Lonchura striata: one gene and its partner. The protein of the gene in region 1 purifies or fractionates together with the protein of each later gene. This does not show direct contact. Links are inferred from orthologs where the notes say so. Each region holds a gene or a part of one and is shown on either strand. Other genes may lie near its edges.

Region 1 (6,992 bases):
GAGACAGAAATTATCATAAATTATCCCAAAGTTAGCATAAATTATCCTAAAGTTATCATAAATTATCATAAATTATCCCAGAGTTATCCCAGAGTCACAGCAGGGTGAACCCGGGCCCGGCCAGCGCCTGGGACACGGCCTGCCGCAGCCACTGCTGCCTCTGGGAGACAGAAATTATCATAAATTATCCCAAAGTTAGCATAAATTATCCTAAAGTTATCATAAATTATCCTAAATTATCCCAGAGTTATCCCAGAGTCACAGCGGGGTGAACCCGGGCCCGGCCAGCGCCTGGGACACGGCCTGCTGCAGCCACTGCTGCCTCTGGGGGGAAAAAATATCATAAATTATCCCAAAGTTAGCCTAAATTATCCTAAATTATCCCAGAGTTATCCCAGAGTCACACCAAGATTAACCCGGGCCCGGCCAGCGCCTGGGACACGGCCTGGCGCAGCCACTGCTGCCTCTGGGGGGAAAAAATATCATAAATTATCTTAAAGTTATAATAAATTATCCTAAATTATCATAAATTATCCCTGAGTTATCCCAGAGTCACAGCGGGGTGAACCCGGGCCCGGCCAGCGCCTGGGACACGGCCTGCCGCAGCCACTGCTGCCTCTGGGGGGAAAAAATATCATAAATTATCTTAAAGTTATAATAAATTATCTTAAAGTTATCATAAATTATCCTAAAGTTATCATAAGTTATCCCAAAATTATCCTAAGTAATTTTCTCAAAGCTATCCTGAATTATCCTAAGTTATCTCAAAGTTATCATAAATTATCCTAAAGTTATTCTAAATTATCCTAGAGTTATCCTAAATAATTATTCTAAAGTTATCCTAAATTGTCCTAAGTTATCCCGAAGGTAGCCTAAATAATTATCCCAAAGTTATCATAAATTATCCTAAAGTTATCCTAAATTATCCTAAATAATTATCCCAAAGTTATCCTAAATTATCCAAAATTATCCCAAAGTTATCATAAATTATCCTAAAGTTATCCTAAATAATTATCCCAAAGTTATAATAAATTATCCCAAAGTTATCCTAAATTATCCTAGTTATTCTAAATAATTATCCCAAAGTTATCCTAAATAATTATCCCAAAGTTATCCTAAATTATCCCAAAGTTAGCCTAAGTTATCCCAAACTTATCCTAAGTAATTATCCCAAAGTTACCCTAAATTATCCTGAGTTATCCCAAAATTATTATAAATTATCCTAGAGTTATCCTAAATAATTATCCCAAAGTTATCCTAAATTATCCCAAAGCTACCCTGAGGTTAAACAAAAATTAAAGCGAAATTAAAGTGAAATTAAAGCAAAATTAAAGTGAAAGTAAAACCAAATTAAAGTGAAATTAAAGTGGGATTAACCCAGAACCCGTCACAGTCTCCGACACCAGAGCAGGGAGCTGCTGCTGCCCTGGGGGGCACAAATTACCCTAAATTAACCCAAAATTACCCCAAAATCGGCCAAAATTACCCCAAAATCAGCCAGAGTCACCCCAAAATCAGCCAAAGTCACCCCAAAATCGGCCAAAATTACCCCAAAATCAGCCAGAGTCACCCCAAAATCAGCCAGAGTCACCCCAAAATCGGGCAAAGTTACCCCAAAATCGGGCAAAATTACCCCAAAATTGGGCAAAATCACCCCAAAATCGGCCAGAGTCACCCCAAAATCGGCCAAAATTACCCCAAAATCGGGCAAAATCACCCCAAAATCAGCCAGAGTCACCCCAAAATCGGCCAAAATTACCCCAAAATCCGGCAAAATTACCCCAAAATCAGCCAGAGTCACCCCAAAATCGGCCAAAATTACCCCAAAATCGGGCAAAATCACCCCAAAATCAGCCAGAGTCACCCCAAAATTCGCCTCTGGCACCTCAAACCAGGCCCTGGGACCCCGAATTATCCCGGGGACCCCCAAACCCCCAAAAGTGACTCCAGAGCCCCAAAAGTGACCCCAAAGTGTCCCAAAAGTGACCCCAAAAGTGACCCCAAAGAGCCCCAAAAGTGACCCCAAAGTGTCCCAAAAGTGTCCCAAAAGTGTCCCCAGAGCCTCAAAAGTGACCCCAGAGCCCCAAAAGTTCCCCCAAAGTGTCCCAAAAGTGACCCCAAAGTGTCCCCAGAGAGGCTGAAAAGCCCCAAAAGTGACCCCAGAGCCCCAAAAGTGTCCCCAGAGCCTCAAAAGTGACCCCAGGGCCCCAAAAGTGTCCCCAAAGTGTCCCCAGAGAGGCCAAAAAGCCCCAAAAGTGACCCCAGACAGCCCCAAAGCTTCCAGACAGCCCCAAAGAGCCCCAAAAGTGCCCCCAAAGTGTCCCCAGAGAGGCCAAAGTGCCCCAAAAGTGCCCCCAAAGTGTCCCCAGAGAAGCTGAAAAGCCCCAAAGTGTCCCCAGACAGCCCCAAAGAGCCCCAAAAGTGACCCCAAAGAGCCCAAAAAGCCCCAAAAGTGCCCCCAGACAGCCCCAAAGAGCCCCCAAAAGTGTCCCCAGAGAGGCCAAAAAGCTCCAAAAGTGACCCCAGAGCCCCAAAAGTGTCCCCAGAGCCTCAAAAGTGACCCCAGAGCCTCAAAAGTGACCCTAGGGCCCCAAAAGTGTCACAAAAGTGTCCCCAGAGAGGCCAAAAAGTTCCAAAAGTGACTCCAAAGCCCCAAAAGTGTCCCAAAAGTGTCCCAAAAGTGTCCCCAGAGAGGCTGAAAAGCCCCAAAAGTGACCCCAGACAGCCCCAAAGCTTCCAGACAGCCCCAAAGAGCCCCAAAAGCCCCAAAAGTGTCCCCAAAGTGTCCCCAGAGAGGCCAAAAAGCCCCAAAAGTGACTCCAAAGCCCCAAAAGTGCCCCCAAAGAGCCCAAAGAGCCTGAAAAGTGTCCCCAGAGAGGCCAAAAAGTTCCAAAAGTGACTCCAGAGCCCCAAAAGTGTCCCAAAAGTGTCCCCAGAGAGCCCAAAGAGCCCCAAAAGTGACCCCAGAGCCCCAAAAGTGACCCCAAAGTGCCCCCAAAGTGTCCCCAGAGAAGCCAAAAAGCTCCAAAAGTGACCCCAGAGCCCCAAAAGTGTCACAAAAGTGTCCCCAGAGAGGCCAAAAAGTTCCAAAAGTGACTCCAAAGCCCCAAAAGTGTCCCAAAAGTGTCCCCAGAGAGGCTGAAAAGCCCCAAAAGTGACCCCAGAGAACCCCCAAAGCTTCCAGACAGCCCCAAAGAGCCCCAAAAGTGCCCCCAAAAGTGCCCCCAAAGTGTCCCCAGAGCCCCAAAAGTGACCCCAAAGCGTCCCCAGAGCGCCCCCGAGCCCCCCGAGCCCCCCGGGTCCCGCCCGGCGCCGGCACCTCCTCGGGCAGGGGCTGGCGGGGCTCGGGCCGCGCCTCGCCGGCCGCCAGCGCCATCTCCAGCAGCCCCTGCAGCGTCCGCGGCGGCTCCCGCCGGCCGCCGCCGGCCCCGCCGCCCTCCGCCGCTGCCATGGCCGCGCCGCGCGCCGCTCCGAGAGCCCCGGGGCCGATCGGGGCCGATCCGGGGCCGATCCGGGACCGATCCGGGCCCGCCGGGAGCCGCCGGTGCCGCCCGGCCCCGCTCAGCGCCGCCCGCCGCGCCTGCCCGCCGCCATCTTGGCGTGGGCGGGGCCAGCGGCGGAAGGGGCGGGGTTTCGGCCGCATTGTTTATGGCCGGCGCATTGTGAGCCGGCGGAGTGAGTGACAGCGCGCTCGGCCAATAGCGAGGGAGGAGCGGGAGGGAGGAGGCCAATAGGAAGCGAGGAAGGCGGTTGGGTTTAGCCAATAGAATAAAAAGGAGGGATTTCAGCCGCCCTCGAGCGAATTCAACCAATGACAAGACAAAACGCTTTGATCGGCATCTCCGCGGGCCAATAGCCAGCCCTCAACGCCGCGGACCAATGCGGGAGCGCCGCGGTTGCCACCAATCAGCTCACCGTGCGCCTCGCGGGCAGCCAATGGGAGCGGCGGCGCGGCGGGGCGGCGGCCAATGGGGATGGCGGAGCGCGCGGCGGGAGCGGGCGGGCGGCGGCGCCGCGGCCGCGCCGGGCCCGGTGCGGGCGGCGGCTCCCGCGGCTCCCGCGGCTCCGGCGCTGCGGTAACGGCCGGGCCGGGGCTCCCGGCGCTCCCGGGGCTCGCCGCGCGCTCGGGCTGCGCCCCGCGGGCGCTCCCGCTGACGCCGCTCGCGGTGCTGCAGGCGCGGCGGCGGAGGAGGCGGCGGCGGGAGCGGCCGGCGGCGGCGCGGGCGGCGGGGACGGCGGTGACGGCGCGGGAGCTGTGCGAGAACGATGACCTGGCCACGAGCCTCGTGCTGGACTCGGTGCTCGGCTTCCGCACGCACAAGATGGGCGTCAGGTCAGAGCGGGGGAGAACCGGGGGGAACCGGGAGGGAGAACCGGGGGGAGAACCGGGGGGAGAACCGGGAGAGAGAACCGGGGGGAGAACCGGGAGGGAAAACCGGGGGGGAGAACCGGGAGGGAGAAACGGGGGGGAGAACCGGGGGGGAAAACCGGGGGACACTGGGGGAGCACCGGGAGGGAGAACCGGGCGGCACCATGTGTCCGTGCCGGTGCCCGGTGCCCATGCCCGGTGCCCATGCCCGGTGCTGATGCCCGGTGCCGGTGCTGGTGCCCGGTGCCAGTGCCCATGCCCGGTGCTGATGCCTGGTGCCCATGCCCGGTGCCCATGCCCGATGCCCGGTGCCCATGCCCGGTGCCCGGTGCGGTGCCCGGTGCCGGTGCTGATGCTCGGTGCCCGGTGCCCATGCCCGGTGCCCATGCCCGGTGCCCATGCCCAGTGCGGTGCCGGTGCCCATGCCCGGTGCCCGGTGCTGATGCCCAGTGCCCATGCCCGATGCCCGGTGCCCATGCCCGGTGCCCATGCCCGGTGCCCATGCCCAGTGCGGTGCCGGTGCCCATGCCCGGTGCCCATGCCCAGTGCGGTGCCGGTGCCCATGCCCGGTGCCCGGTGCTGATGCCCAGTGCCCATGCCCGATGCCCGGTGCCCATGCCCGGTGCTGATGCCCGGTGCGGTGCCAGTGCCCATACCCGGTGCCCGGTGCCCATGCCCGGTGCCCATGCCCGGTGCCCATGCCCGGTGCCCATGCCCGGTGCCGGTGCCCGGTGCCCAGTGCCCATGCCCAGTGCCGATGCCCGGTGCCGGTGCCCATGCCCAGTGCCCATACCCGGTGCCCGGTGCCCATGCCTGGTGCCCATGCCCAGTGCCGGTGCCCATGCCCGGTGCCCGGTGCGGTGCCCAGTGCCGGTGCTGATGCCCGGTGCCGGTGCCGGTGCTGATGCCCGGTGCCGGTGCTGATGCCCGGTGCCGGTGCCCGGTGCCGGTGCCCATGCCCGGTGCCGGTGCTGATGCCCGGTGCCCATGCCCGGTGCCGGTGCCCATGCCCGGTGCCCGGTGCCGGTGCCCGGTGCCGGTGCTGATGCCCGGTGCCCATGCCCAGTGCCCATGCCCGGTGCGGTGCCAGTGCCCGATGCCCATGCCCGGTGCTGATGCCCGGTGCCCATGCCCGGTGCCCATACCCGGTGCCCGGTGCCCATGCCCGGTGCCCGGTGCTGGTGCCCATGCCCGGTGCCCGGTGCCTGGTGCCGGTGCTGATGCCCGGTGCCCATGCCCGGTACGGTGCCCATGCCCGGTGCCGGTGCTGATGCCCGGTGCCGGTGCCCATGCCCGGTGCCGGTGCCCATGCCCGGTGCCGGTGCCCGGTGCCGGTGCTGATGCCCGGTGCCGGTGCCCATGCCCGGTGCCGGTGCCCATGCCCGGTGCCGGTGCCCGGTGCCGGTGCTGATGCCCGGTGCCCATGCCTGGTGCCCATACCCGGTGCCCGGTGCCCATGCCCGTGCCCGGTGCCGGTGCCCGGTGCCGGTCCTGATGCCCGGTGCCCGTGCCCAGTGCCCCTGCCCGGTGCCGGTGCTGATGCCCGGTGCCGGTGCCCGGTGCCGGTGCTGATGGCCGGTGCCCCGCAGCCCCCTGCCCGCCCTGCGGCGCCGGGCCCAGCTGCGGGCGGCCATCGAGGCGTTCCGGCAGCGGCGGGACCTGGAGGCGGCGTGGCGGACGCTGAGCGGCGCCTGGGCCCCGGCGTTCTTCCGCCGGCGGCGGGCGGCGCAGCGGGCGGCGCTCAAGAACCACGTACGGCGGGATTGGGGGCATTGGGGGGGACTGGGGGGGATTGGGGGAGATTTGGGGGGAGTTTGGGGGGTTTGGGGGGTCCCGGGGGGGATTGGGGGAGATCTGGGGGGGATTTGGGGGAGATCTGGGGGAGTTTGGGGGGATTGGGGGGCACTGGGGGGGATTTGGGGGAGATCTGGGGGGGTTTGGGGGAGATTTGGGGGAGTTTGGGGGGTCCCGGGGAGGTTTGGGGGGGTTTGGGGGAGATTTGGGGGAGTTTGGGGGAAGTTTGGGGGGAGTTTCGGGGGAGTTTGGGGGTGATTGGGGGGTCCCGGGGGAGACTGGGGGGGATTGGGGGAAGTTTGGGGAGATTGGGGGAGATTTGGGGGGGTTTGGGGGGTCCCGGGGGGGATTGGGGGAAGTTTGGGGGGTCCCGGGGGGGATTTGGGGGTCCCGGGAGGGTTTGGGGGGAGATTTGGGGGGAGTTTGGGGGGGTCCCGGGGGCGTTTGGGGGAAGTTTGGGGGAGTTTGGGGGGTCCCGGGGGGGATTGGGGGAGATCTGGGGGGTCCCGGGGGCGTTTGGGGGAAGTTTGGGAGGGTTGGGGGGAGATTTGGGGGGAGTCTGGGGGGTCCCGGGGGGGTTTGGGGGTAAGGGATGAATGGGGGGTCTGCTGGGGTCCTATTGGGGGGCACAGAGGGGTCTGTGGGGCACAGGGAAGGATTCTGAGGGATTTCTGAGGGATCCATGGGGCACAGGGAAGGTTTCTGAGAGGCACAGGGAAGGATTTTGGGGGGTTTTTGTGGGATCCATGAGGCACAGGGAAGGTTTCTGAGGGATCCATGAGGCACAGGGAAGGATTCTGAGGGATCCATGGGGCACAGGGAGGGATTT
Region 2 (7,404 bases), on another chromosome or scaffold:
ATTGCCAGTTTCTACATACAAAAGTATCACTAGCTCATACATGTGAAAATTTCATGCCAAATACTTAAAAAATGCACTAACAAGTAGTCCCCTTCCACACATTTATTATTTTGGAATGTTGTTTTGAAGAGAACTCTTCTGGACAAGAGAACTCAAACCAAATCACTTCAGCTTTATACTGTTAACTAACTTTAATAATCAAGAAAATATGCTTGGGCCTTTGGCTGTGTTTTCATTAGTGTAGTGGTTGCTTTATATACAACTCAAACATTACAGCAGGAGGTGTAACTGACAAACACAACATGATTAATTGTGCAATGGGGATTAAGATAAATTTTAAAAAAAGAACTAGAAAAACACTGAGACTAAGAAAACAAGCAAAATATTTCTGTGTACATATGCTTTTGGAAGAATTAAGCCAATCTGCACACAGACCAATGTATTTTCTGAAGTTGTCCAAGGTAGGCCTGGATCAAGATGCATGTAACACAGTACAATTACCGTAGGCAGTGACAACCCAGGGTTTTTTTTTCAAAATACACCTCTGTATTACCAGCCTTTCATACTGCAGTCTGACAAGGAAGTCAACTTTCTCCCCTCCTTCTTCCAAATACATACTCTATTTAAGATTGATCAGTTCAAATTTCTCTTGAAAAATATTTGACTCTGCTGTTGGATCTAGTTATTTTTCTTCTAAGAACACAAAGAAAGCTAGTACTGTCTCCTCCTTAGACAAAAGGACAAGCAAAATAAGACACATGTTCACAAGCAGCAGACACATGTTTCAACTAATTCCTTTTCACCTCATCACATAAAAGGAACAAAGAACACTGCACACCAGACCAGTATAAAAAAAACATATTCACCATATGTCATAGTATTATTTATTAATTTTGAGTAAAAGAGCAAAGAAAAATTTTTAAGCAACAATACTGCAAAAATAAAAATCCTCCCTTCAGTTCTGCTGCTTGAGAATTAGGGACCACTTGCTTACAGTTGGATATAAAAATGTGGTTTTTTTTGTAGATCTATGAAATCTATTACCACCCATTTAATAAAGGACATTATTATAAAAATATGAGAATTAAGTAAGTTTAGTAGACAGGCAGGATTTTTTCCAGTGTTATTGTTACCCCCTGAAAACAGCTACAAACCTGCAAACAGAACTCAAGAAACAATTGTAAAATTATAAAATATACAATAACAATTATAAAAATATACTACATATAACTAACAGACATTAAACAGAATAGTAATGCATTTTACAGATGTATTTAGGGTCATGATCTACCCAGAACATCTAAGCACCACACGTCAGAAAACAGCAATAACGAAATTAATTACCAGTTCTTTAATGAAAACCACTGTGCGAAAACAGCACACACGCTGCTCCACTAACACGAAATCTCTAGATGCAGATAAACTATCTGTCTCAAATGAGCCAGTCTGAAGAAGCTCTGGTTGGCCTAACACTAACCTACCAAAGTCCAGAGAGTTCTGCACATCTAAAGTTTGTGCTGAAGGTATAAAATGTACAATAACTATCATCATGCCAGTGTCTCATAGAGTCCTAAGGAAAATACTCTTTTGCTACAGACAGACACCTCATACCTAGGAAAGGCCACAATATAAAAGCTGGAGGTTAACACCTCTTTCAAGATTTCCACAGTATGGCCCGTGGCAGGAACAAAGCACTAAGGGAAATTTCTACCTCTGTAGGATCTTCATGCGTGTGTATTTTAAGCTTTACTCCACAGTCTTAAAGCAACTTGAAAGCACTGAAAAACGCATAGCCTTTACTAAAAAATTAATCACCAGAGAAAGGAAAGGTGTTTCACATAGCTGTAACGTGCGCAGACACAATCCACGCTGACAGCGGAATTAAGAACTCGGGTAACAGCAATGTTTACCGGAGACGAGCGAGGGGGAATCCCTGAACTCCAGAGCTCCGCAACCCCTCAGCGGCAGCTCGCTCGCCGCCTGTGGCGGCCGGGACGCAGCGGCCGCGCCGGCTCCACCATGTGGCGGCAGCGGGAACACCGCGGCCCCGAGCCGGGCGGGGAAAATGGCGCCCGGGAGCAGCCGCCGCCTCCAGGGACAGCGCTGCGAATTGCTGCCAGCGTACACCTACACACACGGTACTAAGGCCTCTCCAGCGCTCCTTCTCGCCCCCGTGCATACCAGACGACTACAGCTGACGCCCGCCTTGCCCACTCTGCCGGAGGGATCCCCAGTGCCTCTCGCAGACGCGAGTCCCAGCCAGGCCGCCATTTTACCCCTCCCCCTCGCCACCGCCATTACCCGCAGCGCCGCTCGGCCGCTCCGCGCCTCGGGGGGCCAAGACGGCCCCCCCAGCCCGCGGGGCTCAGACTCCCCCCGCTCCTCCGACACCTCAGCAGCAGCGCAGCTAATAGCCATGGCCACGGGCTCAAGAACGCGCTGTCCGCCATGCGCGGTTACCGCAGCTTCCGCCGCCTCGCCCGGCTGTGCGCCAGCCCCAGTCGCCGCTTCCAAAACCTTCCTCTGCGCAAAGACATCCAGCATCCGCCCCGCGCTGCGACCGGCGGCAGCGCCTGGACTTGTGCGGACGACTCAAGCTTGCTTGTAATTCTGAGTCCCGAAAAAATTCACTCTGTCTACACAAGCAAACGCGTCTCCCTCCTTAAAAGCAAGGTCTAAATCCACCCATTCCACGTACCATGTTCTTCATGGTTTATGTATTCCCGCTCGAGAGTACCGTACAACTGGTCGGTAATGGCTGCCTGAGCTGTTACGTAATTTGAAATTCAGCTCCGCGTAGTGTTAGCGCCCTCGTACTCCAGCTCGGGCTCGCTTCCGAGGTTTAATTAATTAAAAAAAAAAAAAAAAAAGAAAAAAAAAAAGAAAAAAAAAACTACAGGATCTGGAGCTTAAATATCTCCAAAGGGGCTGCAATTCTGAATAATGCCCCTACGTGTTTTTATCGTGTAATGAAAGTCATCGACTCCGTTAGTAATGGCCGTCTCCGAAATGAGCCGAAGGAGCTGTCGTCGTCGAGCTTATCCGCTTCGACAGCCGCCGGAAAAAGCCGAACCAGGAATGGAAGCCCATTCGACTCGCTTCGGTAATTTCCGGAATCTGCCGCAGCACGCGAAAATGGCGCTCGGGGCCAGCTCGGCAATTTCCGGACAGAAAGACGCAGCAAGTCACCGACTACTTCAGCCAACTCGGCAGTTTCTGACCATCGACAGGCTCGCGAGACGTGCCCGAGCGCAGCCGTAGCGGCCTCGAACGCTACTGGCACTCAATTTTGTTTGGTTTTTTTTATGGAAATTGACAAAAGGCCCCGAAGGCACAAACCTCGGCGTTATTATTAGTCGGGGGCGGCAGCGCATCGCTCCCCGAAACCTCGCCCTGGCCCCCTTCCTCCTCCGCCCAGGCAGGAGGAAGTGAAAGTTACACAGATTTTGGCACAAGTGCGATATATCGCGGGGCCCCGGCGGAGGGAGGCGGACTTCGCCGCAGCTCGCTCCGCTCTAGCCCGCACCATCGGCATCGGGCGTGCTGCCCGCTCCGCCGCGCTGTCCTCTTCTTCTCCTTCATCCCCTCCTTTTTTCCCTCTCCGGCGGCCCTACGCGCACCGCGACAAAGGGTGAGTGCTGCCGCCCCGCGCGCCAAAGAAATGGCGCTGGAGCAGCTCCTTTCTTCCCGCCCCCTCTGCTCCCCCTCCCTTTCAGCTTCACCGCGGATCCACCCGCAGCTCTCCTGGCTGCAGTGAAGGCTCCCCAGCCGACTCCCCCGACCCCTTTTCCCACTTATGAATGAGTTCTCGGGCCCCAGAGCCCCGCAGCTTCCCGAGCCCCCTTCCCTCCCCCCGCCCTTGCTCACACCCAGGCCTCCCCGCCGCAACGCGGGAAATGGCCGCCCTCCAAAGGGGGCCCCTCCAAACGAGCTTCAAACCTACGCCAGCGCTCCTCGCCTGCCCTCCCCACGCCCGGGGCCCGCCCGGCCGCCCCGATCGAGGGCCTCGCTCCGCGGCGGCGGGCAGCATCGGCCCGAAGCGCATTCGCTGCGGCCGCCATGATGGCGGCCGTGGCTCTCGGGGTCCGCCAACCCCGCCCGCTCCCCCAGGCTTACCCAGTCGCTTTCCCTGTCGCCGCGAGGCATCTTCCTTCTTTTGGACGCCTGGCGCGGTCCTGCGCTCGCCCCGCGTTGGAGAGACGTCTTGGCCCCCCTCCTGTGCCGGCGGCGACGACGGTCGGAGGTTGTAGCGGCTCGCGCGTAGGCGGCGGCGGCGTCGTGCGCTCTGCCCCGTCACAGCCGCCGGCGCGCAGAGCTCGCCCGGCCCAGCCCAGCCCAGCCCGCCACCGCCGCGCCGCTCTCCGCCCTCCGCTCCCGCCCTCCCTCTCTCGCTCCCTCCCTGCCCCCACCCCCCGCCTCAGCCCCCCGCGGATGTCGCTGTTGCTGCTGCCGCCGCCGCTCAGTGCGCGCAGGGCGGGAGCCAGGAGGAGACAGGAGACCTAAGCGGCTGGGCACCATTGAAGTCTGTATCCTTCTCTCTCTCTCTCTCTCCCTCTTTTCTTTCGCTGCAGCCGCTTCCTTTCACCCCATTCACCCTCGAGTCCCTTTCCCTGACTCCCCTTTCCTCTGCGGCTCGCTGCGGGCCGCCGCGGGGAGATGCGGAGCGCAACCCGCCCGCCTCCCCCCACCGCCGCTTCTTCCCCACCCCCGCTTCCTTGGCGGTGGGGGGTGGCGGGCGGAGCGGAGCTGTCGGGGAATCGGGGCTTCGGCACCCGCTCGGGGAGGGAGGGAGGGAGGGAGGCAGGCCGGCGCCCGGGCACGCGGGCGCTGTCGCCCCAGGGGAAGGAGAGCAGTGCCGGGGGCGGGGGCAGCGGCACCCGCGCGGCAGACAAAGCCGGCCCGCCGGCGGTCCCTACGTGTGCTCGGCCCGGGGAAGACGTGAAGGGGCGGGGGGAAGATGGCGTGGAGGGGCCCTGTCAGCGGCGGCGGAAGCGGCCCAGGCCTGCGTCCCCGTTACCTCGCCCGGGGCAGCCCCGCCGGCCTCATGTGCGCCCGCCGCAGGCCCGAGGCGCAGCAGGCCTCCGCAGGGCTGCCTCTGGTTTGTGGCGGGGGGGATTGTTGCTATTGGGTTTTGGGTTTTTTTTTTTTTACCCCTTTCTGCTGCCTCTCCGGGGGACGCAAGGCAAGACCTTCGGCACTGGCGCCCTGGCCCCGGCCCTTTTCCCACCTCGCCTAACCCACCGCCCATGCGGCTGCCAAAATCCGCCTCCCGTGTCAGGGGAGGATTGGGCGGGATTGCTGAGTCCGGAAGGCTTTCTGGCCTTAAAGGACTTTTCTGCTTTACCCAGGCATATGGGGAATTCTAGCATTTCTATAGCTCGCTGCGGGGCGGTGACAATACATGCCTATGGAGCTGGTCGGTATGAGAAATGACATGGAAAAGGGGATGGATTGTGTTCAACCTAATTTGCATAGGTTAAATATGTAGTATGTACATCTTAGCTGAGTTAATATTGTTTTAGGACCTTAACTCTTGCCAACTTGAGAATCAGAAGGCAACATTATAGTTGCATTAAGAGAAATATTTGCTGTTTATAAGAATTTGCTACCATGTAAGAATAATGGGTGATTCATTGCACCACAAATATATATATCTTCCCCATCAGATATTTACAGTTAATATACCTTAGGTATGTCTTCAATTGCTAGAATTTGAGCTCTGTTTCTATTTGGTTTAAGGAAATGAGCATCCCTGATGGTCCTCCCCCTTTTCCCTAGAAACATGTCTATGCTTTTGAAGGCCTTGGGAAAAATTTTTTTCAACCCTATATACCACCTTGTCAGTATCATTTATCCTGGCTAGCCTAATGGTGCATTACTGGGTTATGCCGGACAAAGTAGTAACCTACTTTTTGTTCTGGATTTAATCCGTGTAAGAAATGTTGTATGCAGTGAATACATGGGGGTTGGAACAAGGACCATGCTTGTCTTGGGATGCCTTTCTTTGAGTAATGCAAACTTCCTTTTAATTGTCATGCATTTTTCTAGTAAAAGCTCTGCAAGTCTGCAATAAAAATGGCCTCCAATAAAACTACATTGGTAAGTTCATGCACACCTAAAGTATATAAGGATTTAATCAACATATTTTTCTTCAAACTTATAACTTGGCATCTCCATTTAAAAGATACATCCACATCTCCCCTCCCCAGCATTATTCTGACCAAATTTCAGATCCAGAAAGTAAGGCTACTAGAAAGGACATTGTCTTTGGTTTTAATAAATCTGCCATTTCTAAAGAGAAACGTGTTGAGAAAAAAGTATGAAAGGACTCTGCACTATTTCATCTATTCTACAATAGAAAATACTGAGGATTTTTTTTAGCCTCCTTTCAGCATACCATGTAATTCATCATACATGTAAAAAATAAAGTCTAAATCATGTATTCACTTAATTTCTCCCAGTGTATTTGGAGAAAAATATTTGCCTGACAAAAGGCAATCTTTACAGATGGAAAGTAACATTATTGAGAAATGATGTGGCATAATTAAGATGCCTTTTGAAATGCTTTTTAACAAATAACAGTTTCTTTGAATTTCATAGGAGCAGAGATTATCAGATGTCAACCCTTCCTGGACCATTTTAATGATGCATTCATGGATCTCAAGTCCTCTAAAGCTTTGCTTGACATTAAAATATGGACTTCCAATGGCAGTTGGTTGCTGGTTGCAGTTCAACTAATACTGATACATAGTTTCATGAAAGACAGACCTGTAGAAGTATATTGTGAGATGTATCTGAGATTGAGATGGGGAAGCAAGCCAAAATATATGTGCACAATTCAAAACTCCAGCAGCAGAACAGCTGGTTTATAATAGTCTCGAAAGGCCTGTTCTTAAATTTACAGAAATGTTTACTCAGTTCAAAATATATTCAAAACTTTTATTAACTCCTGGCTTAGAAGTGCAACGGAGTGCTTCCTCTGTGTTGTACTGGTTTAAAATATTTCACCGAGATGAATGTCTAAACTTTCTGTTAGTAATTGATTGTCCACTTATCCCTAATTTGAAGAAGAGAAGAAGTTAGCCAGCCTGGGAAAGGGTGCTTTGGAGAGAGGAAAAAAATCTTTTGAATGTGGTATTTTTAATCTTTTGATGTTATTGAGAATTTTGCTGTACAGGTCAGGAAAATCAGTTATGGTTCCCATGGGAACCATAACTAATTCTGCTTAGTTATATATTTGCATGCAAAACCTAAATATGTTAAGGGGTAGGGTAGCTCTAGAGCTGTAATTCCAATTTTCTTACATCTTGTATGTTAAAATTTTACACCACAGTGTCACATCAGTGTTTTAACCTTGCCCCTCAACGAAAGAGTGTTTATCCATAGATCTACATCTGTCATATG

Evidence for each region. The genes of interacting proteins can lie anywhere in the genome.
Region 2: the proteins of KMT5C (region 1) and CBX3 purify together in Homo sapiens (affinity purification with western blotting; 3 studies listed by BioGRID and IntAct, with this or other methods). This does not show direct contact. The link is inferred for Lonchura striata from reciprocal best matches to the Homo sapiens genes KMT5C and CBX3.

What each region holds. Positions count from the first base shown.
Region 1 is NC_134640.1:2,778,008-2,784,999, forward strand, and holds the start of KMT5C (histone-lysine N-methyltransferase KMT5C), read left to right. Parts: upstream 1-3,974; coding exon 3,975-3,989; intron 3,990-4,175; coding exon 4,176-4,333; intron 4,334-5,958; coding exon 5,959-6,121; intron 6,122-6,992. UniProt on the Homo sapiens protein: Histone methyltransferase that specifically methylates monomethylated 'Lys-20' (H4K20me1) and dimethylated 'Lys-20' (H4K20me2) of histone H4 to produce respectively dimethylated 'Lys-20' (H4K20me2) and trimethylated 'Lys-20' (H4K20me3) and thus regulates transcription and maintenance of genome integrity.
Region 2 is NC_134603.1:123,910,352-123,917,755, reverse strand, and holds the start of CBX3 (chromobox protein homolog 3), read left to right. Parts: upstream 1-4,401; 5' UTR 4,402-4,522; intron 4,523-6,048; exon of another isoform or gene 6,049-6,075; coding exon of another isoform or gene 6,076-6,099; intron 6,100-7,404. Other genes in the region: HNRNPA2B1 (heterogeneous nuclear ribonucleoproteins A2/B1), read right to left, coding at 4,117-4,146.